Linked DNA regions of Arabidopsis thaliana. The protein of the gene in region 1 interacts with the protein of each later gene in a pairwise test. Each region holds a gene or a part of one and is shown on either strand. Other genes may lie near its edges.

Region 1 (8,711 bases):
ATTCAACAGGATATCCCGGATCTTCGTTCAACCAACGATTCTCTCTCTCGAACACCATCTCATCGAGCTTCCTCACATCATCATCACTCTCGCCACGCACCGTGTCGTCTCTAACCGGTAACGAGAGCTTCGGAGCTTTATATATTAAGAAATGCTCAAGCGAGGTAACGAAGGACGTCTCTGGTCGGTCCGACGGGTTGGGATTGGAGATGGAGGCTCGGGAGGAGGAAGAAGAGGTGTAGAGGATGACGAGTAGAGAGACGGTGAAGAGAGAGCCGATGAGGATTAGGGTTTTGGATCTGGGTCTGGAGGAAGTAGAACGATGATTTTGCTGTTTTCCAGACATTGTGAGATCTGCTTCTTCGAAATCTGAGTTCGATTACAAATTTCTGTTACTCAGTTGTTGCATATTACTATGAATGTGGAAAGTGACGATGCGCTTCACTTAACCGCGATTGCGTCTGCGACTGTAAACGCTAAATTGAAACAAAGTTTGTGTTCAAATGTGCACGATAGCAATTGGATAGATGTCAAAATGTGTTTGATAGCAGAAACTAGAATAGAATGTATTTCAAATCTCATGTGCCATCATAACAAATCTCCTTTATAAACCATCACACAAGTCAAAGAGATCTCCAAACACAGATTACTTACATTGAACCTGTTCATTCATACTACCAATTAAACACCAAATACATTATAAAAGATTTATTATGTCGCCTGAAAGTATCCGTCTCAGAATCGAATGAGATCGTCGTTTTTGGATGAGGACTGCTCCTTTTTTGGGTCATGATCTGGATTAGTCGAAGAATCACAGCCGTTTTTCTTACCGAATATCATCTCATCAAGATCATCCATCATGTCATCTCCACTACCACCCCCTCCATGGAATCCACCTCGAACACCAGAAGATTTTCTAACCAGAGATTCTTCTCTTCCATGAATTGGAGAGTCATCGGGCTCTTCAGCAACGGGAATCATGGCTGGTTCATGTGAGGTTAGCGGTGCAGAGGGTTTGTTCATCTCCTCATACTTAGACAGCGTTTTCACTAGCTCGTCGTTCACATTCAAGGCTTCGAAAAGAAGGGCTTCGTTTTCACCTGCTGTTTCAATGATTCTTTGGACAGTGGTTTGAGATTGACGACATTGTTGTACAAGTGTCGTTGTTAAGTCATCCTGCAAATCAGAGAGATAATGAAAATATATCGCCGATATCCCATGTTATATCCATTATTACATTAGAATTACAGGAAATGATGCCTAATAATTCCGAGTCAATTTACCTGTAAAGCATCATGTTGAGGCGAGGAGGACAGAACCGTGGAAAGAAGTTCAATGCTGTTTCTTGCTATATCAAAAGCTTCCTTTGTCTGCTCAGCAGTAAAGCTTCTTACAGGCACATCATACTGGATATGTGCAGGTTCATGCACATGCTGAGGAAGATCAGCATTCAGTTCTGGTGCTGGAGTTGACCGAGCAGGAGTGAAAATAGGTGCCAAGCTTTCGTTGTCTCGTCCAGGGAAGCGAATACCTCTTGCTTTTAAGCTCTATAGTATAGGAAAAAATATAAAAACATTAAAGACCTAATCATAATGAATTCTGACATCAGACCTCACAGCTTTTCATTTTTCAATCAATTCCTGCAACAAGCTAGTCGATTGAGCCAATTCATTGAAACAATAGTCATTTGTCTGTTTTGTTCAAAACCCATATGCTTTGGCCAAAACAGTTCAACTCAACATAAGATAGTGGTATCTTCAATAAAGTATTGTAAATGAAACTGTATTGTTGAATTTAATAGCGTAAAATTATTTGGTACCAGGTCATAGTTACCTTATAAGTTTCTTCGAAAACTGGTAGGTAGCGAAGTTCACTGGTTGATTCTCCCCAAGCTTCAATCAGCATCAAAGCTTTGTTTCGGTTATTAACAACTGTTTGTGGATCATCAATCAGCTTTACCATTTCATCAAGGACTCTCTCTGCTGCCACCTCTGAAAACGCCTTCTCACAGTTCTTAACACACGTCTCGAGCAAAACCAAGGCAAGGTACTGAATCCTCGGCTGCTTCATCATAATCCTCTTCTTTATACCACGGATCAACTCAACGCTATTAATTGTCTCTTGATTTATCATATCACAAATTTCCAAATTCATATCCCAGTCAGGTTCCTCTAGATTCTCAGTAGTAGCATCTTCGACTATTTTATCAGTTGGGTTTGGACCTTGAAAAAGTTCCTTCACTTTAAAGCTCATTGAGCTCACACCAGCACTGATCTTGTTGCTCACTTCCGAACCTCCGATCTTCAGGCGCTCACCAAATGCGGTAACTTTGTCCATAAGATTGTCACCCATCTTTGCTGATACTCAAAAACCTGTAAATGAAAAACAGCAAGAACCTGGAATTGTACATACAGAACAAACCAGAAAGCAGCTGAAACATCAACTTGTTCAAGTATCCTTCAATGATACTAAACAATAACGAGCACGAAAGGAAATACTAACAATCAATAATATACACCTACGAATTCTGCAGAGATTCATACAAAATCAAATACACAAAAAGGTTCAAACCCGGTTAAACCAGGTTTTCAGATACGATCTCTTCGATCATACAAATATTCTTCTCGATCCAACAAAATTTGCTCAAGGAAACTGGTTTAACCAGAAATTAAACAGTTTTTTACGGATGAATGTAATTAGGGTTTGCTGAGAAAAACCGAATTCGATATTCGAAGATCAAAATTCGAAAGAAAATAGAAAAATTCGTTTTGGTCAACAAAAACCCTAATAAGGAAAATAACATTTCATATGATCGAAAAACCCAGAACTAGATCGATCAACACGGAAACAGTAACCAAAAAACAGCGAAATCACAAGTAAATTAACGCGAATTTCTACCTTTGAGATTGAACAAAGAGATGAGAAGCTCGAAGAACAAAGCTCGATCTGGTAATAGAAGACGGAGACTAGAGAGGAAAATCTGCGACAAGGTCAATGCCCGTTGACGCCGTACAAATCCTGAAGAAGAAGAAAACTGCGTTCCTTTTTTAAGTGTTTGGTCGTGGGAATTACTTTATCCTGACTATGTTTCCCTTCCTTTACGCTAAACATTATTTTCAAAAAGATATGCTTTTTTATTTTTATTTTTTTCATATCAACCAATCACGTTACGCAATTTCATCCAACGAACCAAAAAATAATCGATCATTAAATGTTTTTTTTTTTTTTTCTTGCCAGTAAAATCTTCACGCCGGTTTCAGGAAAAAAAACTTCATCATCGGAGCCGTTTCTCTCTCTCGAACTCGTAAGCTTTCTTCGATTCTCTTCTTTAGACCATTGATGAGAATCTTAATTGTTCCCTTTCTACTGTAGAAACTTGAGCTAGATTACGTTGAGGTAATTCAATTTTAGATACTCAAATTCAATCATTTTGTTGTCTGTAGGATTTAAGTATTTGAATCTTGCCAATGGATTTGACGTGGTTAAGTGCCCTAATTGTTGGAGCTGCACTTGGATACTGCATTGGCACTCGCCGTTCCAAACCTGTTGTTGCTGCTGTTGATAAGGATATCAAAACTCAATCCTCCAAAAGTCCACTCGAGATTGAGAAACTCGCTGATATTCTCGATGATTTCAAGATGGTAGTTAGCTACATTTTTCTCTCTACTGTTATGGAATCACAAAATTGTTGAATTGAGTTTTGTATACTCAGGTTTTGGTGGTGAGAAATGATCTTAAAATGGGTAAAGGAAAGATTGCAGCTCAATGCAGGTGATAAACTAATCATGCTCTCTTTTACTATTTTAAGTGTTTAATTCATGTTTATCATTCTTACATTTGAGTGTTCTTATTCTGATTCGTTTTATTGGTCTGCATTTCTGCAGTCATGCAACTTTAGGATTATACAAGAAGCTTGTTCGTCGAGCGCCAAAAGCATTGGACTGGTATGCCTCTAAGTCATGATCAATTCCATTTGTTACTTAATATATGGATTGAATTAACAGTATAGGTTGCTATTGCAGCTGGGAGGAATGTGCACAGCCAAAAGTTGTTGTGAAAATCGAGGACGAGGACGAGATGCTAGAATTGCAAGTGAGTTTACTAAAACAAATTGTAGTAGACTGTAAAGTGGATTTTTTTTATTGAACTATATTTTGGATTCACAGCTTTAGTGCTGTTGCCAAATTGATCTTCACGGGCTTTGCAGGAGTTGCCAGATGTTAGTTTCTTGATAATTTCTGAGTTCTGACCATATACATGAATACTTAAGGGGAATTTGAGATATCATAGAGCTTATCTTGATTTTTCCCATTTCTTATATCTTGTATTGACTGTTCACAAAATTGTCAGGAAAGAGCTAAATCCCTTAAACTGCCTACCCATATCACCATTGATGCTGGAAGAACACAGATTGCCCCAAGTGAGTTTCATAAGTTCCTCCCCTCTTGAACTTGAAATCCCTTGGTGCTTTAAACTTTATGATTGCTAGTTAATTGCCAGGGAGAAAGCTCTCTTGATTCAATCTTCTTTCGTAAGTATCATTTTCTGCGAAAATGTGAATCTAATAATACGTCATGTTCTTTCCAGATTCAAGGACGGTTATGGCTATTCTTGGTAAGTTGTTATTTTTAAGATATGTGTTTGAAAGTTAAGACTCTGATGGACAAGTGATGAGTTTGAGAGTTGCAAATCACACTTACCCTAGAGAAATGTACTAGTTTATTAGTTCATGACTTCTCTTGATTGCTTGGTGCTTGTCCTTGACCCTGAATGGAATCTATAGTTCATAAGAATCCAAAATATGAAATGTAAGCTCAAAAGTTGACTCGGTCAGAAGAGGGTGTATACTTTCTGCGTGGTATCCAAATTCATATGCACCGTTCTATGACCAGGAGTTAGAGATTCTTGTAGCAGAATTTGTTTATCGGATATTATCAGCATTTCTTAACACAACATTCCAACGCTTATAGATTTTACTTCTGCAGGACCAGTCGAAGTTGTTGATGAAGTAACAGGTGGACTAAAGCTTCTTTAGCAGATTCGAATTTCGATATGACATTTCTTCAACCTGATCTCTCAGATGGACCAAGCAGAAAGGAGAGACATGAACTCCACCTTCTCTGTTCGCCCGAGGTTACCTGTGAGAAATCTGTAGTTGTTACGTATACTCGTTCCTGATGATGACGAAATATTCATTTTAAAACATTTTCCCCATTTTTCATGGGCATGTAGCATTTCCCTCTACCAATGGTGATATCATCTTTTTTTGCTGGATTTGTATTAGAAGTATCAAAAGCTCGAGCCTTTTTTGGCACATTGAGAAAATGGCTTGTTCTAATGCCAGTTCATGGGAGTGTTGGCTATATGAACATTTCAAATGTAACAACAGATCTTGTTTATTGAAGATAAACCCATGGTATGGAGTGTGATTATCTACCAAAAATAAAGAAGAAAGCTATTCATCTACAAAATTTGCTTAAATTATATAATCTACATGAGGTGTTTAACACAGTGCTTATTATCCCTTTCTTTGTCCCTTTAGATCGTTCCTGAAATCTGCTGTAGCCATGTCAAAACCCTCAGGTTGCTTCCGTGTTTGGTAGAGTGCATAGAGAGAGCATCATCACCAGTAACCTTTGCATGAACACGATCCATTTTTGAAATGATGGAAGCGACTTGAGTCCCTCAATATAATATCATGATCAATGATTCTGGACATGTATGTGAATGCTGTATGGCAATCACCACATACCCGTAAATTCTTAGTAATCCTGATAGCAGCACCTTGCGGAGTTGTTAGAATACCATATGCAAGAGCTAACTTCTCACTATGCTCGAAAAGAAGATCATCTTTCTCTTCATCGTCTACATCATGAAGAGCAAAGCCTGTTTCAGGAACATAACCAATGTCCTTGATGCGTTGCATGTGATCTAAGAGGACCTGGTATATTTCCTTAGCGTGTGGATGAGTTTTATCACCCACGAAGAACGTAGTAGTTCCTTTAATTCCTTCAACCCAACTACAACCAGGTCTTTTCTTAACTCCTTTATGTCTCATCAATGATCTGATCCTAGTCACATCTTTCCAACGCCCTGCATTTGCATACAAATTTGAGAGTAATGTATATGATCCATCATGATTAGATGCTAATTCTGTTATTTTTTCCGCAGCGTACTCCCCGAGTTCAACTTTTCCGTGGATTCTGCAGCAACTGAGAAAAGCAACCCATACCACAGGAGGAGGCTCCATTGGCATTTCTTCAATGAGACGCAAAGCTGCATTCAACCGGCCAGCACGACCTAACAAGTCAACCAAACATGCATAATGCTCCGGACCAGGACTAACCCCAAAAACAGTTTTCATTCTATTGAAATACTCCATGCCCTGATCAATCATTCCTGAATGACTACAAGCATATAATACAACAAGTAATGTAACACCATCAAGCTTAAAACCTATTCTCCTCATTTCATCAAAGATTCCAAGAGCTTCTTCTCCATAACCATGCATACCATAACCCGTCATTAGAGATGTCCAAGTAACTTCATTTTTCGCCATCATATTGTCAAATACAAGGCGGGCATCACTGATGCTTCCACATTTTGCATACATGTCTATTAGACAGTTTGATACGAACAGCGGTACTGCATTCTGCTGGTTGCGCAACGCATAAGCATGAATCTGCTTGCCAATTCTTAGTGCAGCCAAACTGGCACATGCCACGAGGGCACATGATATGGTAAAAGCATTTGGTCTTGTTTGGCAATCTTCCTCAAACATCTCAGATAAAAGTTCGAGAGCTTTATTTGCATCCCCGTGCTGGGAGTATCCACCTATCATCACAGTCCAAGTCACAACATCCCTTTCCTTGGGGGAAAGTGAATCAAACATAGCACGTGCAGTATCAACCTTTTTGCACTTAGCGTACATGTCAATCAGTTGATTGATTACCATATTCTCATCACCATGACCGTTCTTACGCAAGTCTATGGGATATTTGATGGCATAACAATGAATCTCTTTACCATGCATCAATGCTCCAACAGAAGCACAACCCGAAAGAACCGAAATAAGCGTGACTTCATTTGGTTTTATCCCAGAAGACAACATCTGCCTACACACACCCAAAGCTTCATATCCAAGTCCCCGTTGAGCATACCCTGAAATAGCAGCACTCCAAGTAACAACATCCATTTTTATTTTCTCTTCCTGCATCTTCTCAAATAACCTAACAGCATCTTCAAACCTTCCAATCTGTGAATACCCAGCAACCATAGCATTCCAAGATACTACGTCCTTCACTGACATGTTCGAAAACACCGTGTTTGCCTCATCCATCATCCCACACTTTGCATACATATCCACCAAGCAATTCCCTACAAACATATTCTGTATCATCTCACTTGTGACTGCAAAACAATGCAATTGCTTCCCTAGTGAATGAGTTCCTAGGGAAGCACAAGGAGGAAGAACATTCACAAGGGTAATATTATCAGGTCTACATCCGAATTCATTGGTCATCCTGCTAAACATTTCAAGCGCCACCTTAGGTTTGCCTAACTTTGCATAACTTTCTATTATAGAGTTCCACGATACAACATCCCAAACAGACATTTCGTCGAACACCTTCCGTGCATCACTCAATGAACGACAACGGGAATACATAGCAACAAGCGCATTCCCAACAAAGACATTGGAGATAAATCCAGTTACCAGAGAAAGCGCGTGAGCAGATTCTCCACAACGAACGGAGGATATCTCGCCGCAAGCCTTGAAGACGAAGGGGAATGTGTAATTATCCGGCGTCCATGACAGAGAATGCATAAGGCCGAACAAATAGAGACATTTATTGGCGCAGCCATTGTCGCCGTAGCTGCGAATGAGTGAATTCCAATGGTAGACACCAGCGTCAGATGGAGGAAAACGACGGAGGAGAGATACGGCATGAGATAAGCAACCGACGGAGATATAGGTGGAAATGAGGTGGGAAGTGAGATTCAAGGTTAGGATTCCGAAAGAGAGGAGTTTCTGGTGAATAAGCTTGACCTGAGAGATGGTTTTGCATTTGTGAATAAACGGCGGTGTTATCTCCGGCGCCGATGTCGAGAAGAGAGAGACTTTAATGTACTGGTGAGATTTTGCGGCGGCGTTGGGGATGAGAAGGCGGCGGATCATACTACTGTAACTAGAGTGGCGGGTGATTTCTGCGTTTAAACTAAACAAATCAATTCGGTTATATCCCGGTTTTAGATTGGAAATTTGAAGAAAGTAATGAAACCGGATGTGAAAAGAAGAAGAAAGTATAATAGACCGATTAAAATTTAAAGCGAATTTCGGTTCGGTTTATGTGCTAAGCGACCTGCGTTTGCGGTTGAGTGGACGCTTTGGATAGCGTTTGTAGCTCAGCTTTGAATTGTTTTGAAATTTTCAAAATCGCAGTTTATAGTTTCGAGAACCCAGAAGACCTTTAATCTCCCGCCTCTTTCACACCATCAGACTCCATTATCGAAGCTCGTTCACTCTTCTCTCTCTCCAAATTCGAGAGAAAGGAGGAGGAAGGTGTAATGCCGCGTAAACCTAGACATCGTGTACCGGAGATTCTATGGAGGTTATTCGGAAACAGAGCCAGGAATTTAAACGACGCAATAGTAGATCTGATTCCTAACCGGAATATCCAGCCGGAGCAATGCCGATGCCGGGGTCAAGGTTG
Region 2 (8,353 bases), 9.5 Mb from region 1:
TTGACTACACATATATCAGTTGCGTTAATTACGATATGAACTTGTGTCAAATACTTCTTCAACCCTTACACAAAACCCTAATTAAAATAAAACCGAACATACACGTGTTCTTCTAGCTTTCCCTTGCGTTTTTGGTTTTCAAGCTCTAAGGTATTTAACAAGATTTCCTTTTTCTGGTTAGTTTCCTTTTCCTTAGTTAGTTTGGATTTGTGTTTACCACTCCTAAGAGATGTATTAAAAGTTGTCTTCTACAAATAGATCTATCCATCGTTGTTTAAGAGATATCAGACTTGTGTTTTGAGATTTAAAAAGTTGGCGTTTAAACACTCTTTTTTTTTTTTACTTTTTTTGGTACGGAAGTCTTATAAAAGTTTCGAACAAACTCTTCTGCCTTCATCAGTCGAGGATGTTTTAAAATTGTTTGATTAATGAAAATATGATAATATTTTTACTATTGATATCTAGGTGACATGGTGGGAGCCTTAGAAGCTTTGATATCTCAAGGTCATGGAGGGGAGAGAGTGGCTAAGAGACAACGCTCGGCGACATTGCTAGATCTTGATATCCTCGATTGTCCTATTTGCTGTGAAGGATTGACGTGTCCTATCTTCCAGGTTTTGTTTCTTGTCTAAAAATTGTTTTTTTCCAGCTTTTAATACATATTTTTTTTCTTGAAATTTTTACAGTGTTTTTTTTTTTGTATGTCAGTGTGAGAATGGACATTTAGCATGCTCTTCTTGCTGTCCCAAACTGAGGAACAAATGCCCTGCTTGTGCTTTCTTTATCAGCCAATGGAGAATATTCTTGAATCGATATTGGTCACATGCCCAAACGACATGTTTGGTTGCACCGAGAGTTTCTTATATGGGAAAAAATCAACTCATGAAGAAGAATGCATTTTCTCTCTATGCTCATGCCCTTCATTGGACTGTGAGTACTCCGGCCGATACGAGGATCTCTATGATCACTATAAACTGACTCACATCTCGAACTCATACTGGACCACTAACTGCTTTAGATCTAGCATTCCATATAAGGCCCCGATGCTTATCAGCGATAAGATACAAATTACAAGGGTATATGAGAAGAAAATATTGTTTGCAGTGCAGTGTTTTAGGGAGTCGTGTGGTGTGTATGTAACCGTAAGCTGCATTGCACCATCTGCTCCAGAAGTTGGACAGTTCTCATATCAAATCTCCTACACTGTGGATGAACACACTATGGTTTACAGATCACCACAAATGAAGAGGGTTCGTAAAGTGAGTTTTGAAACACCTCAAGAGAATTTCATGTTGATACCTCACAATTTATTGCGTAGTGAATTGTTGGATATTAAGCTTTCTATCGTCGAAACGTCGAACCAAGAGTAAGAATGTTGAGGTGATATAGAACTAGAAGGAAGGAATGTCATTTTTTTACTCTCTCTATCTCGTCTGACATTTATATAAGTTTTGACGAACTAAGATCCGATGTAATTGCTTAACGGCTTGATTCAGCTTTGATGCAATTTGTTTGGTATTGCTTAACACGTTTTTGTGCATTTAGAGTGATAATGGAAATTTTGATGGAATCGACCAACAAAACATTTCACAGTTTTTTAATCTAATAACTTCTAAGCTATACTTTATGCATGACCAAATTGGAGTAATGCGTGCTCTTTCGTTTGTCATGATTATGGTCTCCATCTTTTATTCTACTCTTAGTCGAAATCTAATTATAAGTAAACGTACGAACGTGTGATGTCTAAAAGCAGAAGAAAAAATTTAGTTGTGAATTGTGATTCAATGATTAAAGAATTCCAATATGGTAGTTTTAACTGCAATTTTACATATTAGTTAAGAATATAAAAGCTAATACCAAAATTCTTAAATCTTTAGCAGAAAAAATAATAGCAAAAGTTAAAATAGAAATTTCCATAAATAGCACCATTTCAAGTTTTTGGAAAAAAATAGCACTCAAACATTTTTTGGACAAAATAGCATTCAAATAATTATTTTATTTTTAATTATTAAAATTAACAATTAAAAAAATTCAAAAAGTACACAAATTCATCATTTGGGTGAATGCTCTATGAATATGCTAACACAAACTTTTTTTTTATTAGCAATCTGCTACTTCTGCATAGTAATTGACCCTATTCAAAAAAAATGAACTATATAACTCATAAATTGTTAATTCTGCAAACGATATGGTTATTGAAATTATATTGGTTTAAGCATATACTAACCTATATATCTGTTAATTCTGTGAATCAACCGCCGATTTTTTCCTTGCGTTTCCAATAATATTTTCCTCAAGGTTTGAATTACTAGCTTACATTGTATAGCACTCCATTATCTTCATCATGTAGATATCGGACTCTTTAATCTTAGCAGTCTACCACCAAAAATCAAAAGAATTTTTAAACATTTAATTTGAAAATTACTTGAGGAATAGAGGTCAACACTATGATATATTAAATTTAGAAATTACCTGAAGAAAAGAGGTCAGGACTCTGATACTGAATGGAGTGACATCTATGTCGTGGAATCTTTCAAAGAATCATTTCCTGAATTTAAGAAAGATTCTACAAAATTCAGGAAGAGTTTTAGGAAAGATTTTTTTGTGAAATCTTTTATGAATTCCGTGAAATCCTTCCCAAATTTCGTATAATAATCTTTCCTAAATTTTTTTTATGGGAAACATTTGACGGATTTTTTTTTGTGAGAAAATTTTGACAAAAATCTTTGGCGAGAAATATTTAATTTTATTTATTTAATTAAATTAGTTATTTATATTAAATATTTAATAATTAATTAAAGTTTTGAGTGTAATTTTGGAACTATTCAAATGAGCTGCTATTTTTGAAGAAATTGTTTTTTTTTGCTATTTTTATCAATCTTCCAAGGTAAAATTAGTCTAGTGGTTTGTGATTGCCCCAAATCCCAACTTCAAAACCACATTTTTGACAAAAAAATAAATAAAAGCTACATAACTTTTAAAAATAAAAATTAGCTTATTAATTAATGTAGCAAAAAATACATAAACTATTAAGACTAAATAAATAATTATTATTGTATTTTGTAAAATTTAGACATTGTTTCTGTTATATATTATATGGGCCTTAATTGGGAATTGAAGAATTAAAAAATACATAAACTTTAAGACTAATATTAATTTTTAAATGGTTTTATATATATAATTATATTCTTTTATATTGTAAATATTAATAGACTTAAAAATTAGATATTGTTTATAAGTTTATCAAAAAAAGGTATTGTTTATATATTATATGGGCCTTAATTGGGAATTGAAGAACTATCGAAGCCCATATCATCTATAGTTTGTGCCATTGTCTCCTTTCTCTGTAAAACCATCCATCAATGAACAAAATCAACTAAATTCTCTATTTGCCTCTCTCAGTTTTCGAGAAGACTAAAAGCGAATTTAGGGTTTAGTCATCTCTCCGACATGGTTGGTGCCGCGATTTTGGAATCTCCCGGCGAAGGAATTGGATCTAACAGCATTCTCTCGCAAAAGAGACAACTTTCTTCTAGTGATGCAGCTAAGAGAGACGCTAAGAAACGCTCGACAATGCTAATGGATCTGGAGATTCTCGATTGTCCCATTTGCTACGAAGCTTTCACAATTCCCATCTTCCAGGTTTCGTAATTTCTCAAATTGAATCATTTCGTATTTTTCAGAAAGTTTCTGTTTTGGTTAGAACTCTGAACATAGTTGGAACTGTGGCCATTTACTTGATTCTAAGAGTAGCCTTAGCTTTTGAGGATTCTAGTGAACTTTTGAAAGTTATGTTAAAGAAATTGCAGAGAGAAGAAGTTGGAATTGTGCCCATTTACTAGTTACTAGATTTCAAGAGTGTCCTTAAGCTTTAGCTTGTGATGATTTTATAGAATTCTAGTGAACTTTAGTAAGTTATGTTCATGTATGCAGTTGTATATAGTTATTGAAAATATGTGTATAACTTGTCTATATCATGAATTATATGGGAGAATCATTTGGGGAGAGAACTATTATCCTTGGTCGATTCGATGAATATTATCTCGACGTTGTTATAGCTTTTGATCACAAGTTATTGGTTTTGAATTTCAGTGTGATAATGGACATTTGGCTTGTTCTTCTTGCTGTCCCAAACTAAATAACAAATGCCCTGCGTGTACTTCGCCTGTTGGCCACAATCGCTGCAGAGCAATGGAGAGTGTTCTTGAATCGATCTTGATCCCGTGTCCGAACGCCAAGTTAGGTTGCAAAAAGAATGTATCTTATGGGAAAGAGTTAACTCATGAAAAGGAATGCATGTTCTCTCATTGCGCCTGCCCTGCATTGGATTGCAATTACACTAGCTCATACAAGGATCTGTACACTCACTATCGTATTACCCATATGGAAATAAACCAGATTAATACGTTCATTTGTGACATTCCCTTAAGTGTCCGGATGAACATCAGCAAAAAGATATTGATTAGAACGGAACACTTGACGAATCATTTGTTTGCAGTGCAGTGTTTCAGGGAGCCGTATGGTGTGTATGTAACTGTAAGCTGCATTGCGCCATCTTCTCCAGAATTAAGTCAGTACTCATATGCTCTCTCTTACACTGTCGATGGACACACTGTGATTTACCAATCACCAGAGGTGAAGAGGGTTCTTAAGTTGAGTTTTCAAACCCCGCAAGAGAATTTCATGTTGATTCCCAACAGTTTATTGCGTGGTGATGTGTTGGAAATGAGGATTAGCGTCAAGAAGTTGAACAAAGAGTAAGAAGGTTGGGGTCTTCCTGTTAGAAAACTCTTATCTGTCTCGTTTTAGTTATCTTAACCCGCCCATAGTCGTTATGGTTGATGAGGGTTGTAATTTTAGAGACTTGGTGCAATCGACCAACAAAACGTTTCACAATGTTTTCAATCTAAACTAAGATATAATTTATGCATAGGCCATTTGCTATGAAGCATTGACGATTCCTGTCTTCCAAGAAGATTTTTCCATCTTTCTGATTCTTATTTCTTGATAACTAAAATTCTTCCAGGTTTTGGTGTTTCTTGTTATAAACTCTGTATTAGGAACAACGAAGTTGGAAACTTGCCCTTTTACTAGATTCTAAAAGTTACAAAAACTAGTTTTGTTTTGAGGATTTGAGGATTCTAGCGAAGTTCTACAAAATATGTTCAGTTTTGGAGTTGTAGTTCTTGAAAAGTGTGTATAATTTAGCAAGATCAAGTATATATCATGAATTATAAAAAAGGTTAGTTAAATATATATATATATGGAGGATGATATAATTAAGAAAGTATACATGGACATATAATTATATCCCATAGGACAGAAAAAAAGAGGTTGAAGAGGGAGATCGTCCTCACCAGAATCCATGGTTAGGGCCTCACCAGAAGAGGTTGGGTTGTCTGTTTGTGTTAATGTGTATACCAAATTCGGTTTTCCACCAATTTCCTCCTTACAAAATACACCCATTGAACTCATGGCTGCTAATATGGAGATTTGGATCGATTTTTGTGATATTCTTCTTCTCCTTCTCCCCTTGCATATATATATTAGCCAGCCATTTAATATAAAAACTTGTGAATACAACTAAGCTTTCTTTTGTTTTAGTTGAAAGCTTTTTTATATTCTTTGTTATAAAAAAGTCGTTCATTATTTTTTTTTTCTTTTTGTTTTTTTGTTAAAGAAAGTCGTTCATTATTGATTTCGGAGAGCTGTTCAATTATCAAGACTTCGGATTTTCCGGATCTTGTTTCTAACGATTGGAAGTTTGAAGAAGCAAGACTTCGAATCCCATCTAGGAACAAGAACATATCGTGACTTCACGTTGGACAACTGTAAAATAATAGTGTACAATACAATACATGATAGTATTTGTTATTACTTTAAAATTAAACAAGGAAAATACGACAAGTCTACAACGCAGATTAAGTTAAATATTTTTCTTTTTCTGCTAGTGATATGATTCTTCTCTCCAAAAGTATATCTCTCACACAAAACTTGCTTAGGTCTAAACAATAATCTTAAAATATTTACATGTATATATTTTTGCTAAGGTTTTTGACCAAAAATCCCTCACCTATTTACTATTTTCAATATTAGTCCTTACAAATTTAATCTCAATCAAATACTTTATAACTAAAAACTTACAATTAGTTGAATTGCATTAATTAGTTGAATCAACTCTTCCTAATTTTTTATCCTTAACTAAATTTTTTTTTATTGAACTATATTCGATTAAGGCTAATTTCCTAAAATCTATATATCAACATTAAATATAAATATATAATTTTTCTGTCATTATCTTTGTTTTTATATATAGCTATTTTAGTTTATATATAAAATACATATATTTAATAAAATATTAGATTTTTTTGCATCCGATAAAATTCAAATTTTTTAAAACAGACATATAATACTCCATCGATAAAAAAAAAAGTTTTAAAGGTCCCACATTGCTTAAAAATTTGGGACATCGTTAAGAGTCATACTATAAAAAATATTTAAGTGATTCTGAATACGAATGAGAAGGAACCTTGATATATCAAACATCCAAAATTAAAAGTATTGTTCGGTTTACTCCGGTTCTTTATTTTAAATAAGTAAAAGTTTTAAAGTTTTAAAATATTATATATATTTAAAATTTATTAAAAGTTAAGTATTACAATTTCTTAAGAAAATTTAAAAGTTAATAACTATAAAATAAATTTAATATTAATGATTTAAAAATTTTAAAATTTTATGAAGTTGTAAATTTTGTAAATATTTGAACTTTATAAGAAGTTAAAATATTATAAATACTAAAAATATATTAATATTGAACGATATATTACGGGTGAAATCCTATATGTAACAATCAATATACAATTATGAAGTTTGGTCCATATTAAAACTTTTTTGAAGTTTCTAATATTATAATTATTCGAACTTCATAAAAAAATGATAAAATGATGTTTAATTTCACGGGACGAGGTTATATGGTGGGATAGGTTTGGATCGATATTAATACGGAATGATACAATTATACAATTTTAAACACTAAAAAAAAATAGTTATAAAAATCATACAGAGGTGTATCATACTATCATACATAAAAGACAATAGCATGTATCTATAGATCATCCTAAAAACAATAATAATATTTTTAATTTAATAAAAATATAGACGTTTGATGTACCTCTTGAATATGTTATATATATAAACAATATTAATAAAAATAAAATATCTAATTTTCTAAGAAATATTTCAACCCTGGATGTACCGCGGGTCAATCTCTAAATAATACAAGTTAAAAAATAATAATAATAATAATACAAGTTTTAAATCTTTATTACCTCTAAAAAACCCAAACCATAAAAATAAATATTGAATTTTCATAATTAACTAACAAATATGAGAACATAAAAATGAATTATCGAAGCTTTACATAAATAAAAATTATGTGTTAAGAATATATTATTTATATACAATTAATAATTTTTAAAAAAATTATCTATAATTTTTTAATGAACATATCCACCCGTGGTACCGCGGGTTAATATCTAGTATATATATAATATAGGTTAGTAAAAACGTGCAGGGTCTATTTTACAAATAAGAAAAATTTCTAGACTTCTTAAAGACTTTATGATACGTGAGAAATATCCTTGTCGATAAGGGTGTCGATCGGTACTGACGTGGTGTCGATCGATACTGACGTGGTGTCGATCGACACCAACGTATGAATAATGTTTCTGCTTGTCTTCTTTTCCTGAAAAGCTTCCAAAATTCCTTATTATGCTTCATAGCTCTTAAAAGTAGATATGCACCTGTAATGACTAAAAAAGATACAAAAAAGATTAGAAAGACTATAAAAACCATTCTAATACTATGTTAGAAATCAGTAAAAACCATGATATATCTCATATAATTTATTGACTTTTATTTGGTAATTGTATACGTGTGTTAGATTATTGTTGTAAGTTGTTACATTATACTCTAATTGTTTAATTGTATTTTAAAATTTACATTTATTTTATTTATCAACCGTATTATTGTGTCCTTTCTTCAATATATGATTATGCACATCAAAATAACTTTAAACTTCTTTATTAAATTCCACAAGTGTATATATAGTAAATAATTAGTAATTAAATGCAATAATTTCTTACCATATTTTTCAATGATGGAAGAAATAGTAAATAATTTGAATATTGATCATATAAAGTATTTGAGTTCTTTTGATTAATATCAATTAGTATCAATATATCAATATTCATATATGTTAATCTTTTAATTAATCAAGACTTTTTTAATCTCACAACTTTGAATATTTTACAATTTACACACATACTAAAATCAATATGATATAAACAACTTA

The links. Proteins that work in one complex are often made in the same cells at the same time.
Region 2: the proteins of AT5G16880 (region 1) and AT5G37890 interact in a two-hybrid assay, tested with the Arabidopsis thaliana proteins (one large-scale study listed by BioGRID).

Annotation. Positions count from the first base shown.
Region 1 is NC_003076.8:5,543,299-5,552,009, reverse strand, and holds AT5G16880 (Target of Myb protein 1), read right to left. Parts: upstream 3,094-8,711; 5' UTR 2,899-3,093; exon of another isoform or gene 2,373-2,898; 5' UTR 2,353-2,372; coding exon 1,834-2,352; intron 1,548-1,833; coding exon 1,284-1,547; intron 1,177-1,283; coding exon 736-1,176; 3' UTR 501-735; downstream 1-500. Other genes in the region: AT5G16890 (Exostosin family protein), read right to left, coding at 1-346; AT5G16870 (Peptidyl-tRNA hydrolase II (PTH2) family protein), read left to right, coding at 3,468-3,641, 3,713-3,771, 3,885-3,944, 4,023-4,092, 4,351-4,420, 4,588-4,614, 4,986-5,035; AT5G16860 (Tetratricopeptide repeat (TPR)-like superfamily protein), read right to left, coding at 5,624-8,176; TERT (telomerase reverse transcriptase), read left to right, coding at 8,566-8,711. UniProt on the Arabidopsis thaliana protein: Might contribute to the loading of the ESCRT machinery.
Region 2 is NC_003076.8:15,086,920-15,095,272, reverse strand, and holds AT5G37890 (Protein with RING/U-box and TRAF-like domain), read left to right. Parts: upstream 1-3,317; 5' UTR 3,318-3,450; coding exon 3,451-3,642; intron 3,643-4,092; coding exon 4,093-4,761; 3' UTR 4,762-5,595; downstream 5,596-8,353. Other genes in the region: AT5G37900 (TRAF-like superfamily protein), read left to right, coding at 471-614, 789-1,370. UniProt on the Arabidopsis thaliana protein: E3 ubiquitin-protein ligase that mediates ubiquitination and subsequent proteasomal degradation of target proteins.